Linked DNA regions of Rattus norvegicus. The protein of the gene in region 1 interacts with the protein of each later gene in a biochemical or structural test. Links are inferred from orthologs where the notes say so. Each region holds a gene or a part of one and is shown in the gene's direction. Other genes may lie near its edges.

Region 1 (4,031 bases):
AAGGGGAACGACGAAGCTGTGCTGATTTGAAGCACAGTGGGAATTCACGTACTTAACTGAAAGGATTGAATTTCATTTTATTGGTAAATTCTGAAGCAGATGCAGGCAAGACCTAAGAGGATAGTGTACAGAGAGAAGATGGGGCTTCAGGATCGTTGGTAGACTAGAGAGAGCCCCAAAGGCTCGAGGAGGGAAGAACCTCAGTGGATTATCTAGGAGTGAGGCAGAAAAGAACAAAGGTTCCTGGCAAGGCGTGGGGCCTTCTAAACTCAGGGGTTCGCTGCCATATAGAGAAGGTGTAGCTGCTGGAAGGAGCCATGTGATGAGGATGGGAAGGCTGTGGCGCAGATAGTGAGATGCCTGGGTCGGGAGGTCAGGGGAGACCCAGGATTGGCGTCACCTGTCTGCGCAGAGGTGAAGCCACCAGGCAACTGGCCCAGCACTGAGTCCAGAAGAAAACAAGGCTAAGATAAAACCAGAGCTTCGGAGACTATCAGCATGCAGGTAGGGCGAGGACGAAGCGTGAGGAGGGCAGCGGTCCACGCGAGAGGCCTCGAAGGCCACCGGGCCCGCGTCCGAGGGTCTGAGGTGCCTGCCCACACCTGCAGGGCCTCTTCCCGAGAAGACACCCTCGAAGGCCAATCTAGGATCGGTCTGCTCAGCCCTCGCAAAAGACGTCTGTGGGGAGGGGGCGTGGCGGCGTGCTGTCACTCACTGCCCGCTAGCCAATCCACGGGTGCGCCCCTCCCCGGAGAGGGTGCGCGGAGGGCCCGCCCCCGCCGCCACCGCGGGTGTGAGGCGGCCAGCCTGGCGCGGCTCCCTCCGCCAGGCAGCCTGCCCAGGTAACCCGGTTCGGCGGGAGGGTCGGGGGTCGCGCGGCACCCTCCACTCCCTGGGAGGCGCGCACGCTGCAGTGGGGCCGGTGCGGGCCGGAGGCCCGTGCGCGCAGCTGACTGACGGGCCGCAGCCTGTGGGCGGGGTTGCGTGCGTGACGGGCGGTTGTACCCCGCGTTGTGTCAGGCCTGCGCGGGGAAAGCTCGGCAGGACCGAGGTGTGTTAAGTCCGCCTTCTGCGGCCTGCCCCGGGTCGCGGGGCGCAGGCGCGGCGGTGGGCGGGGGTCGTCCCTTGGAGCGCCTTTGTTCCCGGCGCGCTGAGGGCGGAGCCGAGCCCCGCCCCGCCCCCGCGCTCAGTCCCCGCCCCGCGTCCGCCCGCAGGAGCTGCCACCGGGTCCCGCTCGCCTCCCGGGCCGCCGCCGCCGCCTCCGCCTCCGCCTCCGCCTCCGCCGCCCCGGGCCCGCCGGCTTGCGTCGCCGAGGTCGCTGCAGCATGGCGGGCGTCGGGACCCCCTGCGCCAACGGCTGCGGGCCCAGCGCGCCCTCCGAAGCGGAGGTGCTGCACCTCTGCCGCAGCCTCGAGGTGGGCACCGTCATGACTTTGTTCTACTCCAAGAAGTCGCAGCGGCCAGAACGGAAGACCTTCCAGGTCAAGTTGGAGACGCGCCAGATCACATGGAGCCGCGGTGCGGACAAAATCGAGGGGTCCAGTAAGTGCGTTCCAGTCCGGCCTGTCTCGCGCCCGCCCGCCTCCCAAACACTTGGGCAAACTTTCGGGCCTCGCGCCTGGCGCCCCATCTCCGCCCAGTCCCTGGTGGTCACTCTGGGGCGGGTGGGGGGGCATCCGGGTCTTGGATCACCTGATAGGACACCCCCTCGCCCAGCAGGGGGGAGTGTTCCAGGCACTTTGCCCTGAGGCCTAAAAGTCCTCACTGTTTGGACAAGTGGAGTGGGATTCTGGCTCCTAGAATTGGGCGGTTGTCAGCGGCTTTGAGGGCAAGCCAAGGCAGGGAACCCCTCATCCAACCTGAGAACCTGGGGAACTGACAAGACCTTACTGACCATTGCCCTTTCTCCAGAGAGTGTTGTCTGTGAGGAACTCAGAGCTCCGGGATGGGCTTATTGGCACCAGAACCTTTGGAATCCTCATGTAGAACTTAGGCAGATGTTGGGGTAGGGCTGGTTGTGGAGCACAGCGGGCCTACTCATCTCCCTCTTGGAGACGGGGAAGAACGTGGTCCTTTGGGAGGGCGGGGTACAAAAAGCTAAAACAGTGGCTGCTTTTTTAGCTCCCGTGGATGCTTTTTTTTTTTTTTTGTCCCAAATCTGAGTTTTGGAGGTCCATGGCAGATGTCCAAAGCCAGAGCCGGGATTCCAGGTTGAGCTACCAGACGCCTTTGCCCTTGCAGCATTTAACGAGGAACTTGCATTCAGAAAGGTTTTCCAGTCTTGGGGTTCTCCTCTTCAGAGCTGACAGCCAGTTTGAGGTTGGGCCCTTTGTGTCGGATGTTCTAGTGACCACAGGGTGGCCCAGAGTTGCTCCCCTGGTTTTCCTGTCTTAGTCTTCCCAGACCTGAGTTTAGTGGGTTTACACAAGTCTCTGGTGGGAGTAGTGAATAAGGGGTTTTGAGAAACCTCAACTCTTTCTGATAACCATTTCCCTCGGTGTGAGGCTGGGTGGGCACTCAGCTCTGTCCTCCCGTTTGAGGAAATGATGCATTTGCAACTCCAGGCTTTGAGATGTGTCTTGCAAAAACCCCCAAAGAGACTATGGTTGAAGAGACCTAGCCTCAGAACCAGGTCTGTGTTAGAGAAGGGGGTTGGTGTCAGGAAGTAACAACAGAGAGAAGCTCCCACAGATCTTCCTGGGTATGGTGTCTATGTGTGTAGATGGGTGAGGAGATGAAGAGGAAGGGAAGGTTTCTGTGGTAAGGCAGCCATCCTCAACTACAAACTTCAGGTCTGACATAGCTGCCAAACAGAAATGGCACTTAACCATCAACAGTGGCCGGCCCCATCAGCCCTGGACTCCACTGGAAGAACATTTCAGTGATTTTTCAGTGTTGGGGGATGGTACTGCAGACAGTTCCTGTAGTCCTGAGAACATCACTCAGACATCAGGTTGCGGGCATGGCATTTTACATCTGTAGTATTTCCTGTGTTTAAGTGGTGGCATTAGTTCCCTGGTAGCTAGCTCTTGGTAACAGCTGTGTTGTAAACCGTGTGTGTGTGAGACCAGTAGACAGTAAGTGTAGTCCATGGTTAAAGACAGGTTTGCGTTTGAAGCCTGGATGTTAGCTGTACATCACCCAGACAGGTGCTTTCTTTCTCTGAGCCTTGGTTCCTCTGTGAGTTATAGAAGTGCATTTATTATAAATGGTCACTCTTGGAAGTGAGATAGTTGATGTCAAGTAAACTAAATATGTAGTAGATGTGAGCAGAGACATGGCAGATGTTTAAGGACCAGTTATTAGCAGCGGTAGCTATAGCTGATGCTTGTCCTCCTAGACCTGGGATGAGGCAGGGTGGGGGGCTCTGAGGGAGGTCTAATGTGGCTGTTAGGGGGAACAAAGGGCTTGGAGGTAGGGGGGCCGAGAGAGGTTCACATTCCCCTTAACTCATTACTCAGTAAGAAAGAGGAAACCTTCATTTTGTCGCACATCATTTACTCATCCACTCACCTGCCTTGTAGAAGGTGTTTCTGTAGAGAAAGTGTTTGGAGTTTTGTACATTGGATGTCATTGTGAATTGGGGCCTGGACAGAAAGAAGGGATTTAGAGACAGAACCATATAGTCCATTTTGTCTCACTCGGGTCTTTGAGGTTGGGTGGCAGGAATACAGAGGACGTAATCTTCCCAGACCCACAAGGGTCATCCAGAGATGTGCATGTTTTCCTTGGGTCTAGCTCTATGATTTTTGGGGTTCAGAATGAAGGCTGGCAGACTAGTCTGTGTGGACTTCACACCTTGTGAATGGATCTCCCCACCGAAGCCTTGCCCCACTTCTGCCCACATGCACCTCACTGCCTTGGTGGGTTCCCAAACCTGCAGCCTCCTGCAGATTGTGAAAAGGATTGAGTTGCCAGCCGGAACCCCTACTGCTGTCTGGTCTCTTGTTCAAATACCCCAGGTATTTTGACTTTTTGGTGATAACCTCAACCCTGCCTGAAGCCAGGCCAGAGAGGAAGACAACGGCTGC
Region 2 (3,123 bases), on another chromosome or scaffold:
TGGGCAGGTAGCTGGATGGGTGAGTGAATGAGGATGCAGACAGTTATGCAGATTCATTGTTTCACCCACATAGTGGACAGGGATAGAAAACTAGACAGTCAAGAGAATGAGGATAGTGTATAATGAGTGAACACACGTGTGGAGAGAACATGTAAAACAGCAAATGGATTGATTGCCAAGTGCGGTGGGGCACTTCTGTACTCCGGCACTTTTGAGATAGAAGCATTAAGGACAAGGGTTCACGGTGCCTCACAACCGTTCAGAATGGGATCCAATGCCCTCTTCTGGTGCGCAGGCGTAAGGTGCACATGCAGATGGAGTACTCATATACACAAACTAAATAAATCTTTTTAAAAAGTAGATGGAAGAAAACAACAACCCGTAGACAAGAAAGTGGGAGAAGGGAAGAGGAAGAGGAGGGAAGAGCAGTAGGAAGGAAGGAAAAGTAAATGTAGGAGTAGATGGGTAGGAAAAGAAGAGAGGAGAGACTGGTGGGCAAATCCGGAAACAGGTATGTGTAGGCAGATGGAAGGAGGGACAGAGGCATGGTCCAGCCAATGGTCTGACGGATGAATGTGAACCAAAGTATTTGCTCACTTGTTCTGGCCTTTTGGACTCCCTCTGGGAAGGAGAGGGCAAGAGGTAAAGAAGACCCTGGGGCTTGATTGACATCCCCTTCCCTTCCCTAGACACGTCAGCCACGTGGGCTGGGATCCACAGAACGGATTTGATGTGAGTAGCTCCAAACACCCCCTGACTCCACCCAGTTTCCACATACTTTCCCATTGCCCAAGGCTCGGAGCGCACGCCCAGCCCCTGCCCTTCCACAGCCCTCTTGGGTTCTTCGTTTTTATGGTTATGGTGATAATCTGTGCCCCTTCCTAATTCTCTTTCTGCTTTTAACCCCGCTCTGCTCTTTTCCCACTTGAACAGGTGAACAACCTCGACCCGGATCTGCGCAGTTTGTTCTCTAGGGCAGGGATCAGTGAGGCCCAACTCACTGACGCAGAGACCTCCAAGCTCATCTATGACTTTATTGAGGACCAGGGTGGTCTAGAGGCAGTCCGGCAGGAGATGAGGCGCCAGGGTAAGCTTTCTTTTCTCTGGTCCTGGGGGTTGTTACCCTAGAAATATATAAGAAAAAAAGAGATGAAGGGCTGGAGAGATGGCTCAGCGGTTAAGAGCACTGATTGCCCTTCTAGAGGTCCTGAGTTCAATTCCCAGCAACCACATGGTGGCTCACAACCATCTGTAATGGGATCTGGCGCCCTCTTCTGGTGCGTCTGAAGACAGTTACAGTGTACCTCTATACACAAAGTAAAAAAAAAATTTTTTTTTCCAGAGCTGGGGACCGAACCCAGGGCCTTGTGCTTGCTAGGCAAGCGCTCTACCACTGAGCTAAATCCCCAACCCCAAATTTTTTTTAAAAGAGACTTTGTTTAAAAGAAAGAAAGAAAGAAAGAAAGAAAGAAAGAAAGAAAATGAAGCTCAAAACTTATCAAACTTACGTGTTATTTTACCCCTGTGCAGAGCCACCACCACCACCACCATGCCGAGGAGGAGGAGGAAGCCAGCCCCTAAGACCCCCTGTTGGGAGTAATAAGGGTCGCTGTGGTCCACTGCCCCCTGTACCTATGGGGGGTGCTCCGCCCCCACCAACACCCCGAGTGCCCCCACCTCCGGGCCGAGGGGGTCCTCCACCACCACCCCCTCCAGCCACTGGAAGATCTGGACCACCACCTCCTCCACTCCCTGGAGCTGGGGGACCACTAGCGCCACCGCCACCTCCACCACCACCACCACCACCTCCAGTCTGCCCTGGAAGTGGGCCAGCCCCTCCCCCGCTCCCTCCTACTCCAGTGTCTGGGGTGGGGCCAGCACCTGGTGGGGGCCGGGGCGCACTTTTGGATCAAATCCGGCAAGGAATTCAGCTGAACAAGGTAAAGACGGGCAGGATAGATAACGGGGGTCTGTGTAAGTCGGAACATTGTGGGCCGTGGTTGAGATGCCGGCTTTGGGGGACCCGGTGATAAATTGGAGATTGGTGTGGTCCCTTGAAAGAGACTGGAGTGTGTGAGAGAAGAAATGAGGAAAGGGCAGGAGAAATGCTCTTCTCACAGTCCTGAGCCCGCCTCTCTGCTCCAACCTCTCGCTGCAGACCCCTGGAGCTATGGAGAACTCAGTACCGCAAGCACTCCCTCAGCAGTCAGAAGGCCTAGTGGGTGCCCTGATGCATGTCATGCAGAAGAGGAGTAAAGTCATCCACTCCTCAGGTGAGCCCACTCTGCCAGAACTGTGACCTGACCCCCGGAGCTAGTTAGAACTGGCTTGAAAACAGCTCCAGATGTCACTCTTACTGGTGACACTAGAGGCCCGTGCATATGGTGATATATGTGATGCATATGTGTAACCCAGTGCTGGAAAAGTTAAGGACGATCTTGCATTCAAGGCCAACCCGAATCAGAAAAATAACAACGGACAGAGGCTGGAGTTAAGAGCTAAGTGGTCCAGCAGTTGTCTAGCTCAAAGCCTTAGGCTCATGTCTATTCGCAGCAATGAAAGCTGACAGTCACCATCTGTGGATAACCGTAGAAACATGGATTTTGAAGGCCCTTCTCAGCATGTTGGCATCAAGTCGTCAGGCAGCAGTAATATAATTAAGTGCATCTTTGGCAATAATATTAACATTTGCCAGGGTATGCCCACAGTATGAACATTAACCGCATGTGTTCAGTGATACTAACTTTAGTTGTGTGACAAGACTTTTCTCACCCTAGATAGGGAACCCATGACAGACTGAAGGACAGATAACACCAAAGTCCAACATGGTGAATCAATGGATTTTATTAGGGTTACTTACAGGAATATGGATGAGGGGTCACTTACAGGAGCAGATATGATTCAAGACAGCTGTATCACCAGATCCCATCCCAGCATGGGTGACAGCTCATAAAAGTTGGGAGCCTGGAGCCTGCAGGCTGATAACAGGCTGGGAAGTGTCTTTCCCAAGTGACTCTGGTCTAAACCTTTTCCAGGCAGCGGGTCTGGTCTTCTTTGTGGTTGGCATGTCTTGAGAGTGACTCACGGTAGCCTGTATTGCTTGTTCTGAGAGGAAGGGGCCTG
Region 3 (4,222 bases), on another chromosome or scaffold:
CTTCAAAAAATATCAATATTTCTTTATTGAAGATGGACTCTGGACCTGGACCTAGCCGTGTGCTGGGTGGGTTCAGGTATAAAGAAGCAAAAGACAGACGCTGGTCAGTGAATGAATCTAAGAGTCCAGACCTTTCAATGTGACTATCAAATGATAAGCCCACATTCGGGCTTACACAGATGTGTTTGGTGACGCCAGTCAGTCCCTGAAGGCTAGCTATGTTAATATTTATACCGAAGCTTTGAGACTTTAGAGTCAGTAAGAAGGTCTTTGGAAGTTTAAAAAAAAAAAAATCAGCTCTTTGACGATGTCTGGCAGAGTATTTGCTACAGAATAAAAATCTGAGGGGACGAGGCCAGAGATGGTATCTTTGAAGGTCCCAGGATATTCTCTGAATCTGCGTTGGGAAATTGGGCTCAGTATTAGTTCCAGGAGGTTCTGAAGTGAGGGAATGAGTTTGCACGCTAAGAACCTGAGCTGGATCCCCCGAACATTCTCTCTCTGGAGGGCACTGGGAACCAGATGGGTAATGGGATTAGAAGTCGATTGTCACTTACACAAACAAAATTGCAGGGTGTGGTGTGATCCTTATTTTCCAAATCAGAGTCCACCTTTATCATTAAAAACAAAACCAAACAAACCCCAGGGATTATAAATTTTAAGGCTAGTCACTATGCGAATGTGTCTATATCATAGAGTAAGCCAAGAGCACAAAGCTGTCCTATCAGTCCTTAGTTCTTCAGTTTCCCAAAGCAGGCAGGTGAGTTTCCACAGTACTTTCTTTTTGTTGTGACGTCAGATCAGCATTCCAGAACTCCTAGGGAGAAGTCCTAAGGCCCTTGAGAAAAAGTTATTAAAAACGTCACTGCAGGACGCCAGCGTCACTGAATATTAGCGTACTTGGGAGTGGGGAAGATCTAGACTTTCCGAGTTTAAAGATGATTTAGTCCTTACGCAGAGGTGGGGCCCTAGGCGTCAGCCCTTGGACTGCCAGCCCCGGGACACCCCACGCGGCAACGAATAAGTGTTGAGGAGTCCAGAGACCGAAACTAGCCAAGGATCACAAGGACACCGGTGCGCGTCCACCGGGCGCGAGGCGCACAGGCCCCGGGACGCACTCAGGACAGGGGTAGGGAGGGACAGCCAGAGAAGACTAGAAGGAGGGACGGGTGACAAATCCCCGCCTCCAATCCCTCCCACGGTCCCGCCCCGCCGCGATTATAGCCGATGACTCAGGGCGGAGTTCCGCATCCAACCCACGGCGGCCGCCAAGTTCTCTGGATGGGACCAGAAGTTTCTAGCCGGCCAGTTGCTGCCTTCTCTTTATCTCCTCCTTCCCCTTTGGCAGCTAGGAGGCTATTTCCAGACACTTCCACCCCTCTTCGGCCACGTCACCCAGTCCTTTAATTCATAAAGGTGCCCGCACCGGCTTCCCGGACACATCGGCTACACAGAGGTGCCCGCACTCCACGACCTCGTGACCCGCGCCCTAGCTCTGCGCCCCGGGCGGACCCCAACTAAGCATGAGCGCCGCCACCCAGTCGCCGGTGATGCAGATGGCGTCCGGCAACGGAGCCAGCGACCGAGACCCCCTGCCCCCGGGCTGGGAGATCAAGATCGACCCGCAGACCGGCTGGCCCTTCTTCGTGGACCACAACAGCCGCACCACGACGTGGAACGACCCGCGTGTGCCCCCCGAGGGCCCTAAGGTGAGTGGAACTAGACGTCCCACCTCGACGGTGAAGGGGCCTGGTCGAGCCAGGGCTACGCGAGTCACTTCACTCGGCGCCCTGCTGCGCCAGGAGAGTCCCTAACCGTACCGGCCCTGGACCGGCGTCGGGCCCCGGAGAACCTTGGGCGGGGTGGCCTTGGAGGGTAGCCAGCGAGGTGCGACCCGCTCGGTGACATCGGGTGGTTTTCCACAGCCTCTTGCGAGGGGCGAAGGGCAGGTGGTGGCCTGAGCTGCGGTGCGCCGGGTCCTATGGAAGGGCGACGGGCCTGATGAGCGGCTGAGGCCCAGGCCAGGCTCCGCCGCGACTGTCTGGTCCGGTACTGAGACCCTCGGCTCCCTCCGGTGCTGGTGGCGCACGGCCAGGTTTGCAAGGCTGCTGAGTGGAGTCCTGTGTGGATTTCGCCTTCAAGTTCAGAACTTAGTTGAGGGTTATCCTGACTTTATTGGATCTTAGGCATAGAGTGACTCAGGAGGAGGCTCGAGTAAGTAACTTATTTTCCTCCACTAAACTTATTACTGGTTGAAACTGCTTTCAGTTAGAGGTATTCTGATACTACTCCTTTTTTTTTTAAATAAAGATATTGTTTCTGGCAGTTTCAAAACTAGAGAATCAGATATTATATCCATACTTAGCCGTTGGCTTAAGACATTGCCTCACACTGGAGAGAAAGAGAATGTATTTTTAATGGCGTGATTCCTTGTTATTGTAGTTTTCAAATACTGGAGATTGTTGCCAGAAGCAGCTGAGGAGTCTTGTGAACAGCAGGTGTATGCTTCATTTACATATATATTCAGGCTTGTGTGCCTCAGTGTCAAGAGCAAAAAAATTTGAAAATACAAATTTGGAAATAAGCCTGACCTGGTTCAGGCTTGTCATCCCAGCACCCAGGAGGCTGAGGCGGGAGGATCTTGAGTTCAAGTCTAGCTTAGGCTATATAACCAGAATCTATCCTAAAAGTTATTTAGTAATTAAATTTGGAATGAAACTAGCCTGTGTTGTGAAATAAGACCCTCCCATCTTAAAAAAAAAATCAATTAAATTTTGAAAAGAGCTAAAAACACAAACTTAGGTAAGATTTTTGTTTGTTTGTTTTAGTTTTCGAGACAGGGTTTCTCTGTGTAGTGTTGGCTATCCTGGAACTCACTCTGACCAAGCTGTCCTGGAACTCACAGAGATCCTCCTGCCTCTGCCTCCTGAGGCATGAGCCACCGCCACCTGACTAGGTAGGATCTTTGAAAATAATAAAATTAACAGAAGTCATATTTAGTATACCGTTCAGTAATGATTTATGTAAATTTGGTCTTTTCAAAATGAAAAGTTTTGAAAAATAAGTACACTTTTTAAAAGACTCTAACCTGGCCCTGACCTGGTGGTGCACAGCTTTAATCCCAGCACTGGGAGGCAGAGGCAGGTGGATCTCTTGAGTTCAAGTCCAGCCTGGTCTATAGAAAAACATTGCCTCAAACAAAACAAAACAAAACCAAACAAGAAGAAATACAAACTTACTGCTTTCTGGAAAAAAATAAAAGCAGTAAAGAGTTTATTTATTATTTGGTATTTTAAAAAACTCACCCAATTAAAAATGCTTTATAAATCATTATCTTACAAAAAATCTAGTTTGGTTTTTATGTGTATGGTGATAGGGACTGAACCCAGGGCCTTGAGAACTTCAGTCAAGCATTTTCCTTACAACTATTGCTACAACTTTACTATCCAGCAGTGAGCCACATACTTGGCAGTTTACATTTACAAGAAATTAATTGTATATTTCTGGAAATTATTACTATAAGAGGCTATAATTTGGGATGGACATAATTTCGTGTATCTCTGTGCGTGTGCACGTGTGTGTGTGCATGTGTGTGTGCATGTGTGTGTGTGTGTGTGTGTGTGTGTGTGTCCGTTTCATCCATTATTGGGTAAAAGGTTCTCTTGAAACTAGCCGTCTTCAGACTGCATGGGGAGTAGAAGCCCCCCAGTGTGTATTTTGAGGCCTCCTTCCTATAGCTACAGGCAGGATCTCAACCCTCTGGCACCCTTCGTTGGGAGTGAAGATCAAGTTTGAGCACATCATGCTACTGCTTAGCCAATGTGTCAGGATTTGCTGTAGACACTAGGTGGATGCTTTAGGCTGGATTTTCATAAATCTGTGTGAGATAAAAAAACAAACAAAAGAAATTAACTTTCTGCTCTTATGAAGCAGAGAGTGCAAAACGTTAAATCAGATGTTTTGGGCTTGAAAAAAAATGAAAGTTTCATCATTATAGTTTTAAACTTGAAAGGTCCTTAACAGTGTCCCCCTCCCTTCTGCATAAGGAAACGCAGAGAATTCACGTGTGTTTCTGAAGGTCACCCGCCAACCCCAATAGAGAGAGAGGGGCAAGTGGACGGACCAGTTAGAAGAGGCTGAGTTTGTTCAGAAGTGGCTTGAATTTGTATGAAACCGAAGTGTGCTGACCTCTGTGCTGTGCTAGTCTGAGTTTTGATGGTTG
Region 4 (4,238 bases), on another chromosome or scaffold:
TTTTCTTGGTCAGGGCTCCACATCCCCGTGTCTCTGACTCTCCTCTCCCTGCAGATCTCTGACCGCCTCCGAAGGAGCTGGCCCCCTTCCTTCCTGTCCGAGTTCCGGGCTCTGCAGTTCTCTCTCATGCTCTGTGCTTTCGTCGGGGCCCTGGGTGGCGCGGCCTTCCTGGGCACCGCCATGTTCATTGAGAATGACCGCCGGCGGGCACAACTCCACGTGCAGGGTCAGTGAGGGCCACTGTCAGGGTCTACCTTCACAGTGCCATCTGTCTGTCTGTCCATCTGCCTGTCTGTCAGCCTCCAAGTACACGTTCCACGGTTCTCCCTCCACTCAGACTGTCCCATACATTCATGCCACCAGCTACCTGCCAGGGGCAAGAGCCCAGCTTCCCTGGCTCATCCAGCTCAGCATTGAGTCTATCAGAAAGTGGATTGGACTTTCTGCCTGTGTGCAGTTCTGAGGGCCCTCACTGCTGTTTCGTCTGTATTCCTCTGCCTGTTTGTCCTCTGTCCCCTTGCTGGCTCTTATCTTACTGGCTTTGGCTCTGATCCCTTTCTCAAAGGTCTGTTGCATGAGACCGAGCCCTCAGATGACCAGATTGTGGTACCTCAGCGAGGCCGTTCTACCCGAGTCCCTGTGTCCAGTGTGCTCATCTGAGGAGCCGTTGCTCGAGCCCAGCCATAGATGTCACAGCTGGTCCTGGGCCCACCCCAAACGGTTCCCAGGCAGAAGCCCTCACCAGGCCCAGGTCCAAGAAGGAAGCCCTGGGATAGATCCCAGCTCCCAGACACTACATGGGCAGCCCAGGGAAGAGATGGGTGTCCAGAAATGGGGGTTGTCCTCTCTACTAGGGTAGCCCAAGGGGTTTGGTGCTATTTGTAACGGATGTAAATAAAATTTGTAATCAGACTCCCGACTGACTGCTTGTCTCTCTGTGGCTGCCACTGGCTTCAGGGAAATATCTGTAGCCTCCGGATTCACCAGGGGCTGTCAGGTCACCCTGTGGGTAAGTCCCTGTCTTCTGGGCTTGGTAATCTAGAAGGAGGGCTGCTCTTTTCTGAGTGAGCTGGCTCGGTGTGACCGTGACTCACCGTGGTCCTCTGGAAGTCGCTCTCCCAGTACGTGAGCCTAGGAGCTGGGGGCAGTGGTACCCTTGGTCCACACAGGCCCTGGCAGAGCCTCCTTGCAGTTCTCCCACCTGAGGAGGCTACAGCTGGCCTGGTTGGCACGTGTCTCCTTTCCTAGTGGAGGGGTTGCCTCATTCTGCAGCCTCAGACCCTTCCTTCACACAGTCCCTTTGCCTCCTCCCCCTTCCCACAACTGGGTGGGGGTGAGTGGGCAGGGGGCAGGCTCAGCCGGCTGAGGAGCCTGATGATTTCCTGCCCTCACCACAGCTTCCTGTCGCACGCGGGTGGTGAGAAGGAGAGGCAGGCGGGGAGCAAGAAAGGCAGGTACAGCTGGGCACAGGGATCGTGCAGCTGGTGGCTGGGGCACAGGCCCCAGCGCTGGCTCCGGGACTAACACCTTTCCGGAGCCAACGCTAATCTCAACTCAGTCGAGCAAGAGAGCAGACGCAGCTGCCGGCTGCTGGATCCCAGGCTGGGGCCCGCTTGGTCCCACACCCCTCCAGGGGCTGCGGTGCAGCAGGGCCTGGGGCAGGTGCTCTGCAGATGGAAGCAGACGCCTTGAGCCCTGTGGAGCTGGGCCTCCTGCTGCTGCCCTTCGTGGTCATGCTCCTGGCTGCCCTATGCGTGCGCTGCCGTGAGTTGCCAGGTAAGTGGGGAGCTTTGGGCAAACGGGATGCTGGACACTCCATCGAATCCTCATGCCGTCCCCGGCCCTTCACCCTCCAACTGTCCCTACTTCAGTCCTGGGTGGGGGTGGGGGACCTGCGTGTCTTGTTCCAATGTACCTGATCCTGCCTCATTGGCTGTCTCTCCTCTAGCCTCCTATGACAGTGCTTCCACAGAGAGGTGAGTGGCAAACCCATGGCCCTGTGTGTCTTCCCTTTGTTCCAATCAAGGACTTGGGGCTGGGGCCCAAGGCCCAAGCCCTTGTACTCAGGCTATCTCTTTCTTGCCAGTTTGTACCCAAGGAGCATCCTCATCAAACCACCTCGTGAGTTCCGTGACCCTGGCCTTCCTCGAGGTTTCTTAAGATTGTGCCTTTGTCCTGTTCATCTTTAGCTGTCTGAAGGGTTATTACCTGGCTTGGGATAGGGGGAAGTGGGAGCCCCAATGTCTGTCTAGGGCATGGTTTTCAGGGGTACATCTGTCCTTAGAGGCCTTGATGAGGGTGGGGGGATGTCTGGCATCATCCCTTCAAGCTTTCTTTGCTCTGTGTCCTCAGAAATAACCGTCCCCCGAACACCTGCTACTTCCTACCCTCTTGTCACTTCCTTCCCACCCCTGAGGCAGCCAGACCTGCTCCCCATTCCGTGAGTATCCCCCAACTCCCTCCCTCGGATCTACTGTGCTTCCACACCTTCTAGGTTGGGGAGGCACTTTTTCCTGGTTTAACCCCTCTTGCTCCCAGAGGCCTACCCAGATGTAATCTCTGGCCTTTGGCTTCCAGGAGATCCCCACAGCCCCTCGGGGGCTCCCATCGGATGCCATCTTCCCGGCAGAATTCAGATGATGGTAAGGGTGTAGAGCACAGGAGGGCGTTGGGGAGGAAGTGCAACCTGAGCTGACTCGGTCTTCCTTTCCCTCTCTCTTTGAAGCCAACAGTGTGGCGAGCTACGAGAACCAGGGTGGGTCTGGGGTCTAGGGTAGTGGGTGGGGTGGGGAGGCTGGAGCTGTCCAGGTCATGTTGACTCCCCTTCCTCATAGAGCCAGCCCGTAAGAACGTGGATGAAGATGAGGATGAAGATGACTATCCTGAGGGCTACCTGTGAGTGGGGAGGTGGGAGGTGGCCGTGGAAGTTGGGTACCCTTTATCAACTCATTCCTTCCTTCCAGAGTGGTGCTGCCTGACAGTAGTCCTGCTGCCGTCCCTGTTGTCTCCTCTGCTCCGGTGCCCAGCAACCCTGACCTTGGAGACAGTGCCTTCTCTAGTGAGTCAGGCTTTCTGTCTACCTCCTTCCGCCATGTGCTGCCAGCCTCTCCTTCCCTCCCTCTGTCTCTGTAATGATTGCCGCTCTTCCATTTCCTCCTTCAGATGTCCAGCTTCCTGCTCTCCACCTTCCATTGTCTTGTTTTTCCTTTCACCTTTGCTCCCTCCTCTCTGTTGTCCAAGAGATTTCCTGACTCTTCTTGAACCCTTCCATTGAAATTTCATTTCTCGGCTGGATGTGGGGGTGCATGCCTATATTCCCAGCATCAGGAGGCTATGGCAGGAGGGTTGAGTTGGAGGTTAGCCTGGGCTACATAGTGATACCCTCTCTTCAGAAACCAAAACAGCACTACGATCAACAAAAAGAAAATAAAAGAATCCATTTCTCTTATCTGAAAGTCCCCCCTCAGTTCTTTTTGTATAGTACCCTGTTCTTGTTTCTTGGAAGCAATATCATCTAATGTGTCTGTAAGAACTTTGATTACAGATTGTTTCTCTCTGTGTCTCTCTCTTGTCTCTGTCTCTGTCGTTCTGCATATCTGTCTGTCTCTCACCCCCTCTCACTGAAGATGTCTTCTGCGTACCCACATGGTCTTTGTTTCTCTTGGACCGCTTTTCTCTGCTTTGGTCTTTCTCCTTCCCTGAACTTTCCTCAAGGTCTGGTGATCTTCAGTTTTCTACCCTCTTGTCTCTGCATAGCATGAGTATCCTTTACCTGAAACACTTCGATACAGATTTAGAAATATTTATAAATATATAATAAATTCTTTTGAATATGAAACTCAAGATTAAACATGAGATTAATTCACTTATGTTTTATATACACCATTATATAATATATACCAAGTCTGAAGGTAGGTTTTTGTTTTGTCTTAGTTTTATTGACATCGGGCTTCATGGTCTAGTCCTGGCTGTCCTGGAACTTGATATGTAGACCAAGTAGACTCGAACTCAAATTAAAGGTGTAGGTTACCATGCTCAGTCTTGAAAATCTTTTGCATGAAATCAAAGTTTCATGGAATTTTCCATTTGTGGTAATGCACGAGTACTTAAAGGGTTTTGGATTTGGAATATGCTGAATTTTGGAGTTTTAATTCAGAAACACCCAACCTTCTGCATTTACCCTAGACTATTTACCCTAGACTATCATGTCTGTAATCTGGCTCTGGTTTTGTTGTTGT
Region 5 (4,060 bases), on another chromosome or scaffold:
GAAATAACCAGTGGTTATTCGACGTTTTGTTATCTACCTGACCGCCTTGTCCATTTTAATTCGGATATGAGTGAGATGGAGGTAGTGTGTGTTTGGGGGTGGTGGTGAGGATAAAGGACTACTCTCGTCGTCGTCCCCCCCCCCCCCCAAGAGCATTCAAAAAATAGAGCGCAAGTCGAAGGCCCTCCCTTCCCCCACTCGCTCTGGGAAGTGCCGCTTCGCCCAGGTTTGGTTCCTGGAGTGTCAGCGCCCCCTTTCCCTCGCCCGCAGGATCGCGGCGTCCCTACTGACTCTTCGCTGGGTGTCTCGGTTTCGTGGCTCAAACATCCCGAAAGCTTTCCTAGGGTACCTCGTGTGGGACCCACTCGGAAGGGTGGAATTTAGGAAGGTCAAAATACTTCTGCCATCCAGATGCAGAGGGCAGGCGTCCCGTAGTCACACCTAGCCTGGGCCTTTTCATATGAAGATTGAAGAAACGAGGACCAGATAACTCAGAAAACAAAGGCAGTACCAGATAAGTGGCTCCAAAGGGATAAAGGTCGTTCTTCCGGAGAACATCCATCCCAAAGGTACGCTGAGCAACCGTTATTTGCACACCATCTCACAATCCAGCCTTTCAAAAACCCATCATCTTCCTATTAGGCTCCACAGTTTCCTAATCCCATTAAAGGATTACCAACTACGCGGCACTTTCCCCTAAGACCCCCAGTTCAAAACGACGCAGCCGCATTACGATTTCTCCCCAGGGCCATATTTCTAGCGAGGCCCGGACTGCCTATAGAAGGGAGAATTTGAATTCTAGATTTATATTCGTTTTAGAAATAAGCAGTAATTTTACGTGTGTTTTCCTTTCGAAGGGAGTACAAAACTATAGCGACACCCCCCTCCCCCATTGAGAAGTCAACTCATTTTGGAAATGATGGCTGTTTGTAGTTTCATGAACCCTCTTTCCCGGCAGAACGTCAACACCTCCCCCTTCAGCCACCCCCACCCCATCTGGTTTGCCCCCCCCCGTTGTTGTTGAAGTCTGGGGGTTGGGATTGGCCCCCCTGATTGCATAAGAGCAAAAAGCCATGGAGAGGTCTGAGCCTGAGAGGTTCAGAGAGCAAGGAGGAGTCCGAGGGAAACTTTTATTTTGAAGAGACCAGGGGGGGGGGGGACTTCATTTCCTGACAGCTATTTACTTTGAGCAAATGATTAGTTTTCGGAGGATGGACTATAACATTGAATCAATTACAAAATGCGGGTTTTGAGCCCATTACTGTTGGAGCTTGAGGGAGTGAAACAAACAGAGGAACTGTGGGCGAGGACTGGAGGCTTGGGGCTCACTTTTTCCTCCGGGCTATCGGATTTTCTTAGCAAACTGACGTAGGAGGAGAAGGTAAGGGAGAGGGAAAAGTGACTTTTGTTTCTAAAGATCCCTGATCGTAAATTGGGGCTGGAAGAAGCTAAGTAACTTCAAATTTTGGGCAACGAGGAAAACAAAAACAAAAACAAAACGGCTGAATTCACTTGTGTGTCCAGAAAGTAACTTATTCTGAATAAACTTCACTGGGATGGGGGTAACCATTAGAGAGTCAAAGATTAAAAAAAAAAAAAAAAGTCCAGACCTATTTTTAAAAGCCATGTTTTTCTACACAATCCTATAGCCTCCCAAAGAAATAGTTAGGCTTACATTTTTGAGGTTTTTCTCCAGGGTGGGGGTGGCATTCGTGCTTACTGGGACGAACACCAAGTCACATTGGGGGTGGAAGTAACGGTGTTTGGCCTCTTGGCAATGGGTCGTGGAAGAGGACAGGTTTTTAATGGGTATTTCCATTCGTCGCCCGCGGTTTGGCAGGACTACGCGGTAGCGGGTGGTGTGGCGCGAAGCTTGGGGAGGGGGTACACCAGGAGAAGTGTGGGAGGAAAGGGGCGCCGGGTGGGGCGCCGGAAAGGGCTAGGAAAAAGGGAGGTGTGAAGGGCTCGGCTGGAGGAGGTCGGACCTCGGATGCCGGCCGGGCACGCTCGGCGCCAGTCGAGCCCTCGTAATTACTGGACGGCGAGGCTACTGGAAACATCTGGGGCCAGACTTGAGCGCGGCAGTGGCAGCTGCGGCACCAAGAGAGTAGTGAGCGGGCGAGGGGGTGCCTGCTCCGAGGGTTCCGGAGAGTTGGGAGCGAATTATTTGGGTGCTAGAAGCCGCTGGCGGAATCCTCAGTGCGCTGGGTTCGTGCGCCTCTCACCCAGGCGACGCAGGCGGCGGCGCGGACGAGCGATCTGGAATAATGACAAACACATTTGGCCCAGAGTGAAGAAGTCGTCCTGGCCTCGCATTCCAGCAACTGGGATTTGAGGAATTTCGAACTGCACTCCGAGGGGCCCTCATTGTGCTCCGTAGTCCCCACCCCCATTCTGCTCGCCTGAGTCTCCAGTGGACTCTTTTCTGCAGGGCCGGGGGCCTGGCTGTTGCTAGTCCTGGCCGCAGGCAGCAAAGAGGCAAGATCCCTGGCTAGGAACTGACCTCTTGGGAAGAAGTCAGGACAACTCTGAAAGGACAGACGTGGGTACAGGTAAGCAGAAATATAATAGGCCAAACACCCTCGCCTCCTGCCTACAGAATTCTGGGTGTCTCTGCCCTGGGATGATGGGTGCGTGGCACTGGTCGCCTGAATGCAATGCTCAGTGTCCTGCAAGGCTCAGGAGTGATCTCCGCGCAGCCTTCTCTCCTTTCACCGTTATCCCCATTGGAAATCAGTTTATACATGACTCCCTCCCCCGACACCCCCAACTCAAGCGGGACCGAGAAAGCAGGCGGCTCTCCCTTGGCTTTGAAGCTTCTTTCTGTTTGGAAGGGGGTGCGGGACAGTCTGCAGAGTAAGGCAGTATGGCTCGGCCCCAGTCTACAGCAGGACCAAGCCAGAGCCTCGCAGCCAGGTGTGCAGGAGTTGCCAGTGACTTAGCGACCGGCCTTGGCGAGAAAGGAAGGGCTGGCCTGTTTGTGTGCTTTGGGGCGCTCTTGCAGGACCCGCGCTTAGAAGCTCCCAGCTTTGCTAAGACCTCTAGATGTAAGGAAAATGCCTGGAAGACCTTGGTCACTCAGTCCACCCCCGGAGGGTGTGCGTGGGGGAACCCAAGCTGGGGAGGGGGCGTGGGTGGCACTTTTAAAGTCTGGGATGCCCAGCGTCGGACAGAGCTGCCCAGAAAAGTCCCAGGCTGGGCGGTGTGGGAAACGGTTTTTTTGGCTTCGTGGCGGAATTGCTCAATGTTTTGGACTGAGTTGCTTCTCCTGAATGGTTTCGGATCAGTCTTAGGCAGCCTGGAGGAGCCGGAGGAGGCCTCTAGTGTAAACCCGCACTGTGGTTCGCAGCTGCACAGCCCCAGATTTAACACCCAAAGTCGCCGAAGAGGCATGGGGCTGAGGGCACTTCTCGGGGTGCGCACCTCTTCTGCGGATGCACTGGCGTTTACATAACCTTTCTTGTGCTCGGACTTTCCCGGACCAAGGTTTTCCGTCTTCCTCCTTCCTCTCAACTTCTTTCTTTCCAGACTCCTCTTGATGAGGACTCCTTCGATGATTCCTCGACAGGGCTCTCTCTCTCTCTCTCTCTCTCTCTCTCTCTCTCTCTCTCTCTCTCTCTCTCTCTGTGTGTGTGTGTGTGTGTGTGTGTGTGCCTGTGACACACCATTGATTTGTCCCCATGGTCAGTTCCCGCTTCGGAACTCTTGCAATGGTACTGTTTTTGGATTGACCCTAGTACAGCCGAATTTATAAAGCTCACCGGAGAAGGGGGCGAACACAGCTCAACTCCACTAGTTATTGTCAGGGCTTCCCTCTGTTACTTTAGTCTGCTGACCCGCAGGGATTACACTCACAACCTGGCCTCCCAGTTCTGGGCCCAGGGGCTTCTACGGTCTTCCTGGGCGCGGGCTTGGGAGAGAAGCAGGGGGAGGGGCTTCAGGCCGAGCTTCCAGCTGCAAACGCGTCAGGCGCCGAGGCGGGCGGGCGGGATTTCTGCCTCCTGGGGACAGGACCTAGGCTGCGCGCGACCTGGGGACGTGGTGACCAGCCTTCTGCCTG
Region 6 (3,500 bases), on another chromosome or scaffold:
TAGGCACTGAAAGAACATGATGCCTCTCTAGAAATAGCCCCACTACTTCCTGCTCTTGGTTGAGTGACATACCAAGAGGAATGCTTGATCTGGGGGCTGGAGAGGTGGCTCAGCAGGTTCAGAGCACTGATTGCTCTTCCAGAGAGGTCCTGAGTTCAATTCCCAGCAACCACATGGCGGCTTACAACTGATGCCCTCCTCTGGTGCGTCTGAAGACAGCTACGGTGTACTCATATACATAAAATAATTATTTAAAAAAAGGCTTGATCTTCTTGGTTGATGGTGTCACACACCTTTGATCCCAGAGCTCGGGAGGCAGAGGCACGCAGGTCTACCCCACATTCAGGAGGAGAGGCAGAGGTAGAGAGATCTGAGTTCAAAGCCAGCCTAATCTACAGAGCGAGTTCCAGGCCAGCCAGGGCTACCCAGAGAAACCCTGTCTTGAAAAATGGAGGTGTGGGGGGTGTTGACGTTTACCAGCCCTGACTGACACTGCCCGTTGGTCCAGTCCTAACTGTCACTCACTGCTTGTCTCCCACTCAAGACTGGTCTTAGGAAAACCGCTTGGCGAGGGCTGCTTCGGGCAGGTGGTGTTGGCCGAAGCCATCGGTCTGGATAAGGACAAACCCAACCGCGTGACCAAAGTGGCCGTGAAGATGTTGAAGTGTGAGTGGAGCTCCTGTGTCCTGTGGTCTTTTTCCTTTTGAAGGCATCCTATGATGCAGTCTCCGCTCACACCTGCTACAATCTCACCTTGATTCCTAATGTTGTCCAGGGGCTCACATGCTCTTAAATCCCATAACTGGCTGGTTTTTCTTGTGGTGGCTCTAGCCGCCTTCTGTAGCACCACAGGGTAGTGGTGGCTCCTGGTGGGAAGCAGGGGGAAGGAAGGGAGTCCTGGAGAAAAGGGGGCTCCTCCAGGATCTGTTTCCCCGGGCCCTCAGATGTCCTTTCCACCTCCCTCACCCCCCCCCTCTGGTTTGCATGTGAAGCTGATGCGACAGAGAAGGACCTGTCGGACCTGATCTCGGAGATGGAGATGATGAAAATGATCGGGAAGCACAAGAATATCATCAACCTGCTGGGGGCGTGCACACAGGATGGTAGGTGGCTCCTAGGGCAGGGAGGGGGTTTAATGTGTTATTCAGGAGCTGAGCCAGCCTGATTAGCATTCATTTAAGATTCCTTACCAACACGGAGAGGAACTATGTCATTAGCCTCTGCATTAGGGTGCCTACCCTCAGCTTTGCCTGGGAGCGTTCTGGACTATATGGTAAAAATTCTTGTTCTGGCTTTCTTTCGGGCAGAATGGCTTTACCTGTTCCCTCTGGAGGAGGCAGGAAAGAGTTTACACTGGGCATGGGAGACGGTGGGCTGTGATGTCAGGGGGAGGGGCTTCCATTACATGGCGCTCCCCTTGTTGACCTATGTCCTGACCTGTGGTCCCTACGTCTTTGCTCTCAGGTCCTCTCTATGTCATTGTGGAGTATGCCTCCAAAGGCAATCTTCGGGAGTATCTGCAGGCCCGGAGGCCTCCTGGGCTGGAGTATTGCTACAACCCCAGCCACAACCCTGAGGAACAGCTGTCTTCCAAAGATCTGGTGTCCTGTGCCTATCAGGTGGCCCGGGGCATGGAGTATCTTGCCTCGAAGAAGGTGTGGAGACTGAATACACCCCTCCCCACAAAAGGCAGGGTGGGACTGGACCCGGCTAGCTCTCCATGCTGGCCTTGAGCTCACGATCCTTCTCCCTCTGTCTCTCTGGTGCCGGGATGCTGACACAGCACTGCCCTACCTGTCTCCAGCTTATGACTGTTAATCCTTTAGAGCTGTGGTGGCATGGAGCCTGTCCCCTCGTGCTGTAGGCTCTGAGAGTTGGGAGAGCCTCTGTACCCTTGGGATCAGAGCGGATTAGGAGTCTGTGTAACCACTTTCTGCATAGACTCAGCCATTTTTAATTCGTGTTTTTCTTTTTGAAATTAAGGTCCCACTAGTTTTTGTAACAGAGGCCAGCCTCACATTCATTGTGTAGCATAGACTGGCCTGAAATGTGTAAAATGTATCCTGCCTCGGTCTCTCTCAAGGGCTGGGATTACGGAGCATGTGTCATAGAACCCAGCCTTATATCTATCTCCTTATCTCTCTCTCTCTCTCTTTCTTTGTGTGTGTCTCTCTCTGTCTCCCTCTCTCCCTCCTTTTCTCTTTCTTTCAAGATTCATTTATTTGCTGGGCAGTGGTGGCCCAAGTCTTTAATCCAAGCACTTAGGAGGCAGAGTCCAATCTCTGAGTTTGAGGATAGCCTGATAGCCTGGCCTACATAGCAAATTCTAGGACAGTTAAGACTAACAAAGAAACCCTGTCTCAAAACACTGGAAAGAAATTTTTTTTTTGTTTTGTTTTATATATATATTTGCGAGTATGCCTGAATGACAAAAGAGGCCTCAGGTCCCAATCCGGGTGGTTATAAGCGACCATGTGATTGCTGGGAATTGACCTCAGGGCCTCGGGAAGAGCAGTCCGCCGTGCTCTTCTTCTCTCCCGCCCCTGTATTTCATCAGATACAGAATAAGAATACTTGTTTCAATATAGTAGAAGTAAAATTAACCCGGCATGGTTCCAGTGCTCATGGTGTCTTTGCTTGAGCTCCGTATGCAGAGCAGACATGCCTTGCCAGGGAGGAGGGTACTCAGCACACACACCTCCACAGACTTAGCATAGCACTCAGCTAGCACCTAGCATAGGCCCAGGTGGTCTGTTTTAGAGTTACGAATCTAAAAGCTAGAGGTTAGGATCTAGAACAAAGGCATAAAGGAGGGCTTGCTACAGTCCTGGAGAAGGCTATAGTCGAAGGTGTCTGGAATTAAAGAATGTTTGTGAGGGGTCGTCTGGAGGGTATGGGAAGATCTAGAGGATATTGGGGGGGTGGGGTGGGCAGAAGGAAGACCCGTGAGATAACGCAGTCCTGCTGCCCACTACATAGGCAGTGCTGGAGTAGAGGGGACTGAATGGCTGCTCGGCAGTGCAGGGCTGTCATCTCCTCTGGTCCTTTCCCTCCTCAGTGTATACACCGAGACCTGGCTGCTAGGAATGTCCTGGTGACAGAGGATAATGTCATGAAGATCGCAGACTTTGGCCTAGCTCGAGACATTCACCATATCGACTACTATAAGAAAACCACCAATGTAAGTTTCCTGCTCGGCACGGCCCCGGGGCTCCCTGCCACTAGACTTTTGCCCACTTCGATGTTTCCTGTTGCTCTCGTGTGGGGGTTGAGTGGTCCAAGAAAAAAGGGCTTGTAGGAGGGCTGCAGATGTGTGTCCCGTACCCTGGCTCCCACCTACTTGTGTCCTCACTGCCTCAGCCATCATCTTCAGTTCGCCCCATGAGTCATCCCGCTAACACAGACGCTGCTGCTTGCAGGGCCGGCTGCCTGTGAAGTGGATGGCACCTGAGGCATTGTTTGACCGGATCTACACCCACCAGAGTGATGTGTGAGTTAGA
Region 7 (3,500 bases), on another chromosome or scaffold:
TGCACAGTGGTGCCCAGGGAGCTGGAGCATGTTGGCTTAGGGGAGGGAATGAGAAGGGAGACCGGAGTTTGGGGAGGGGGAGGCCGCCAGTTCCTTATCGTCCAGCTTTAAAGACAAAGCTCCCATTGACCCCCCCACCCCACTACCAGGGCTTGTCCCTCCAGTGAGGTCACTTTTCTAAGCCCAAAGCTCCGGGGTAGAGGGGAGTGCTGCTAAGGATGGGGTGTCTGAGGCAGGATGGGGCAGCCCCCTCCTCCTGGATAGAATTGCTTCATTGTGGGCTGAACTGTGGCCCCGGGCACTGCCCCCACCCTCTGCCCCCATCCCACCCTCTGCAGACACAATAGGGGCTGTGTGCTAGCCCCAAAGAGATGTTTATTCCAGGGCCTAGAGAGAGGCAGGATGGGGGCAGAGAAGTAAGTGCCTTAGTTGAGGAGAGGGTAAATGTTCCTGCCTAAAGTGTCCTTTCCAGGGAGAAGAAAAGCCAAGCATGTCTTACTTCTGTATTAACCCCTCAGTGCCCAAATTAGTGCCTGAAGGAGGCACAGTGGGGGCTCTGGTGGGAAAAGAGTCCACCTTCCTGTTTGGAACGGTGAGGGAATCGGAGAAGAATCTTGTGAGAATGAGAAGCAGGGGGGCCCTTGGAGGCCTTGTCAGGGTAACTGGGACAGGGCTTTCAGACTGGGGGCACCTAACTTACCTATCTGCCTCACCTCCACTTTTACAGTGTGTCCTGGGACTCTGAACGGACTGAGTGTGACCGGAGATGCAGACAACCAGTACCAGACGCTGTACAAACTGTATGAAAAGTGTGAGGTGGTCATGGGTAACCTGGAGATTGTGCTCACAGGACACAATGCTGACCTTTCCTTCCTGCAAGTGAGTATGCACAGCCCCTCCCCCAACCTGTCCCCACTCAGCCCCATAGAGCAGGCTTGCCCTCCCTTGAGACCACCCTTTGCTGCAGTCAGCATTGCTGCAGTCAGACTTCCTAAGACTTGCACACTGTAGCTGTCTTCAGACACTCCAGAAGACGGCATCGGATCCCATTACAGATGGTTGTGAGCCACCATGTGGTTGCTGGGATTTGAACTCTGGAAGAGCAGTTAGTGCTTGTAACCACTGAGCCATCTCTCCAGCCCGACTTAGTAGTTCTTAAGGCTCAAACCTAGGGAGACAGTGACTGTAGTATGCCTATAAGCAGGGGTATATAAAAGCTGGCCACCAGGAAGGGAGAGAGCAGGTGGCGTTCTGTCAATCAGAATTGTACAGTAAGCCACCTGAGGAACCAGAGTCACCCGGAGAGGCGAGGACTCCTCACCCTTCTGTTATGACTCAGAGAAGAGATAAGTGGGGAATGTAGATCTGTGCTCATTTCTGTGGCTTGTCTTGGCTCACCGAATGGCATAGTACTGTGACAGCATATCCCTACATATCAGGGAATTCAGAGCTGGGGTTATAGCTCAGTGATGGGGTGCTTGCAGAACATACATGAGGTCCTAGAATCAGTGCCAAGTTTGGGGTTTGGGGGAGAAAAGAAAAGAAACTCAGGGAAGCTGGACACAGGACGGGAGTCAGGGGCAACTGTGGTACACTGGTGGAGAGTACTCACCAAACATCAAGGGCTTGGTGTGGTGGCGCACACCTTTGATCCCAGCACTCGTGAGGCAGAGGCAGGCAGATCTCTGTGAGTCTGTGGCTATCCTGGTTTACAAACAGTGAGAAACCAGGTCTCAAAATAAATAAATAAATAAAATAGAGTTAAAGAAGCCGGAGACCTTTTGTCCTATTCACTGCTGCGGTCTGCTCTGTCACAGTGGATCCGAGAAGTGACAGGCTACGTCCTCGTGGCCATGAATGAATTCTCTGTGCTTCCCTTGCCTAACCTCCGAGTGGTCCGGGGAACCCAGGTCTACGATGGGAAGTTCGCCATCTTTGTTATGTTGAACTACAACACCAACTCCAGCCATGCTCTGCGCCAGCTCAAGTTCACTCAGCTAACAGGTGAGTTTCTGATGCTCCCTTCCAGTCTCGCCCCTGAGCCTTCCTGCCAACAGGCACCTCGTCGATGACCCAAGACCGCTCCCTCTGGTTCGTCTGGGTGCCCACTACCTTGGTGGTCTAAAAGTCCACTACTCTTTAAGCAGTAGCTGGCCCCAGGAGGAAACTGGGGGCATCTGCTCCAGGAAGGACCTTATGTGATGGCGGGGTTGGAGTGGGAATTGAGTCTATTGATAACCCTCCTTCCCTGGAATCCTTTGCCCCAACCAATTGGAGAATGTAGGGGTTAAACAGCCTGGGCACCCGCTGCTCTCCCTGTCTCAGTTGCTTAGAAAACATTCAGGTAGGCCTAGGGGATTGAAGCAGGACGTCCTGCCCCTCCCCCACTGGCTAAACCGGATCTACACAGGTGTCTGAAGAGGCGGGAGATTCTTTAGCCTGACTCCTCCTCTTTGAGAGCCAGCTTTTCTTGAAGCTCGAATATTATTGGTAGGAAGACATAGAAGGGGAGTTGTGCTATAATTTTCAGCCTGTGACTTCTCTTCCCACCACAGAGATTCTGTCAGGGGGCGTTTACATTGAAAAGAATGACAAACTTTGCCACATGGATACAATTGACTGGAGAGACATCGTGAGGGTTCGAGGCGCTGAGATAGTGGTGAAGAACAATGGTGCGAACTGTAAGTGGATGCCATCAAGGCGGCTCACCTCGCCCCAGCAAACTGGAGCGGCTCCTTTCCCATCCCTACTCCATTCATTCCCTCATCTGAACCCACCTTCCTCAAACAGTCACCTCAGACCATTGACCCAAGAGCCTGTCAGCCAGGACCGGGTCAGTCTCCTGGAGCCCAAACCAATGGATCAGGAAAAGAGGCAGAAGTTATCTTGGGTGCTAAGCAGAGAAGCCAGATCTTTGGATTAGCTCCCTGTTGCTCTTGCCAGTATAATATCCCCTACTGCTCCAGTCCACTCAGGCACAGAATTGGCTTGTCTGGAAAGAACCAAGTTCCTGGGATGGCACCAGGCTGAGACTGGCATCTGCCCCAGTCCCTGCCTTTCAGCTGCCCAGTGGGTAGTGTGGAGGAGTAGCTAGCCCCGCCCCTTGTTGACAGGTTCACTTGAGCCCAGCCCTGCTCTCCCAGGGCAGGGAGGGACACAGCCCAGGGCTTTTGCTTCCTGGGATTGAGCTTCCTGTGTGCTGACATCATACCTTGTTGATCCAAGCAAGCCTTTCTCAGCTCTGATGGTCCGGTGTGTCCTCTTGCTTCCCAACCAGGTCCACCCTGTCACGAGGTCTGCAAGGGACGGTGCTGGGGTCCTGGACCGGACGACTGCCAGATATGTGGGTTTGAATTTTCTTGTAAAAAGTTAAAGCTCACATCCTCCCATCCCCTTTACCTGTGCAATCCTGCAAACACTTAGAATGAGCAACGGCCCCTGAATTTAGCCCTGAGCGTCGTGTGTTCTCTCTTTCCGTAGTGACCAAGACGATCTGTGCC

The links.
Region 2: the proteins of Plcg1 (region 1) and Was form a complex in vitro, tested with the Homo sapiens proteins (2 studies listed by BioGRID). The link is inferred for Rattus norvegicus from reciprocal best matches to the Homo sapiens genes PLCG1 and WAS.
Region 3: the proteins of Plcg1 (region 1) and Bag3 form a complex in vitro, tested with the Homo sapiens proteins (2 studies listed by BioGRID). The link is inferred for Rattus norvegicus from reciprocal best matches to the Homo sapiens genes PLCG1 and BAG3.
Region 4: the proteins of Plcg1 (region 1) and Lat form a complex in vitro, tested with the Homo sapiens proteins (2 studies listed by BioGRID and IntAct, with this or other methods). The link is inferred for Rattus norvegicus from reciprocal best matches to the Homo sapiens genes PLCG1 and LAT.
Region 5: the proteins of Plcg1 (region 1) and Pdgfra form a complex in vitro, tested with the Homo sapiens proteins (2 studies listed by BioGRID, with this or other methods). The link is inferred for Rattus norvegicus from reciprocal best matches to the Homo sapiens genes PLCG1 and PDGFRA.
Region 6: the proteins of Plcg1 (region 1) and Fgfr1 form a complex in vitro, tested with the Homo sapiens proteins (4 studies listed by BioGRID and IntAct, with this or other methods). The link is inferred for Rattus norvegicus from reciprocal best matches to the Homo sapiens genes PLCG1 and FGFR1.
Region 7: the proteins of Plcg1 (region 1) and Erbb3 form a complex in vitro, tested with the Homo sapiens proteins (2 studies listed by BioGRID and IntAct, with this or other methods). The link is inferred for Rattus norvegicus from reciprocal best matches to the Homo sapiens genes PLCG1 and ERBB3.

What each region holds. Positions count from the first base shown.
Region 1 is NC_086021.1:169,804,068-169,808,098, forward strand, and holds the start of Plcg1 (1-phosphatidylinositol 4,5-bisphosphate phosphodiesterase gamma-1), read left to right. Parts: upstream 1-1,231; 5' UTR 1,232-1,325; coding exon 1,326-1,542; intron 1,543-4,031. UniProt on the Homo sapiens protein: Mediates the production of the second messenger molecules diacylglycerol (DAG) and inositol 1,4,5-trisphosphate (IP3). Plays an important role in the regulation of intracellular signaling cascades.
Region 2 is NC_086039.1:17,080,057-17,083,179, forward strand, and holds part of Was (actin nucleation-promoting factor WAS), read left to right. Parts: intron 1-689; coding exon 690-732; intron 733-933; coding exon 934-1,087; intron 1,088-1,530; coding exon 1,531-1,940; intron 1,941-2,158; coding exon 2,159-2,273; intron 2,274-3,123. UniProt on the Homo sapiens protein: Effector protein for Rho-type GTPases that regulates actin filament reorganization via its interaction with the Arp2/3 complex. Important for efficient actin polymerization. Possible regulator of lymphocyte and platelet function.
Region 3 is NC_086019.1:192,532,038-192,536,259, forward strand, and holds the start of Bag3 (BAG family molecular chaperone regulator 3), read left to right. Parts: upstream 1-1,422; 5' UTR 1,423-1,523; coding exon 1,524-1,709; intron 1,710-4,222. UniProt on the Homo sapiens protein: Co-chaperone and adapter protein that connects different classes of molecular chaperones including heat shock proteins 70 (HSP70s), e.g. HSPA1A/HSP70 or HSPA8/HSC70, and small heat shock proteins (sHSPs), e.g. HSPB8.
Region 4 is NC_086019.1:190,369,337-190,373,574, reverse strand, and holds the start of Lat (linker for activation of T-cells family member 1), read left to right. Parts: upstream 1-1,438; 5' UTR 1,439-1,673; coding exon 1,674-1,776; intron 1,777-1,948; coding exon 1,949-1,976; intron 1,977-2,086; coding exon 2,087-2,121; intron 2,122-2,352; coding exon 2,353-2,440; intron 2,441-2,577; coding exon 2,578-2,642; intron 2,643-2,725; coding exon 2,726-2,755; intron 2,756-2,834; coding exon 2,835-2,895; intron 2,896-2,963; coding exon 2,964-3,058; intron 3,059-4,238. Other genes in the region: Spns1 (protein spinster homolog 1), read left to right, coding at 55-226, 566-660. UniProt on the Homo sapiens protein: Required for TCR (T-cell antigen receptor)- and pre-TCR-mediated signaling, both in mature T-cells and during their development.
Region 5 is NC_086032.1:33,405,717-33,409,776, reverse strand, and holds the start of Pdgfra (platelet-derived growth factor receptor alpha precursor), read left to right. Parts: upstream 1-1,260; 5' UTR 1,261-1,381; intron 1,382-2,283; exon of another isoform or gene 2,284-2,552; intron 2,553-3,984; exon of another isoform or gene 3,985-4,060. UniProt on the Homo sapiens protein: Tyrosine-protein kinase that acts as a cell-surface receptor for PDGFA, PDGFB and PDGFC and plays an essential role in the regulation of embryonic development, cell proliferation, survival and chemotaxis.
Region 6 is NC_086034.1:73,197,856-73,201,355, reverse strand, and holds part of Fgfr1 (fibroblast growth factor receptor 1 precursor), read left to right. Parts: intron 1-544; coding exon 545-666; intron 667-992; coding exon 993-1,103; intron 1,104-1,464; coding exon 1,465-1,655; intron 1,656-3,058; coding exon 3,059-3,181; intron 3,182-3,419; coding exon 3,420-3,490; intron 3,491-3,500. UniProt on the Homo sapiens protein: Tyrosine-protein kinase that acts as a cell-surface receptor for fibroblast growth factors and plays an essential role in the regulation of embryonic development, cell proliferation, differentiation and migration.
Region 7 is NC_086025.1:1,593,880-1,597,379, reverse strand, and holds part of Erbb3 (receptor tyrosine-protein kinase erbB-3), read left to right. Parts: exon of another isoform or gene 1-592; intron 593-727; coding exon 728-879; intron 880-1,817; coding exon 1,818-2,004; intron 2,005-2,555; coding exon 2,556-2,681; intron 2,682-3,277; coding exon 3,278-3,343; intron 3,344-3,480; coding exon 3,481-3,500. UniProt on the Homo sapiens protein: Tyrosine-protein kinase that plays an essential role as cell surface receptor for neuregulins.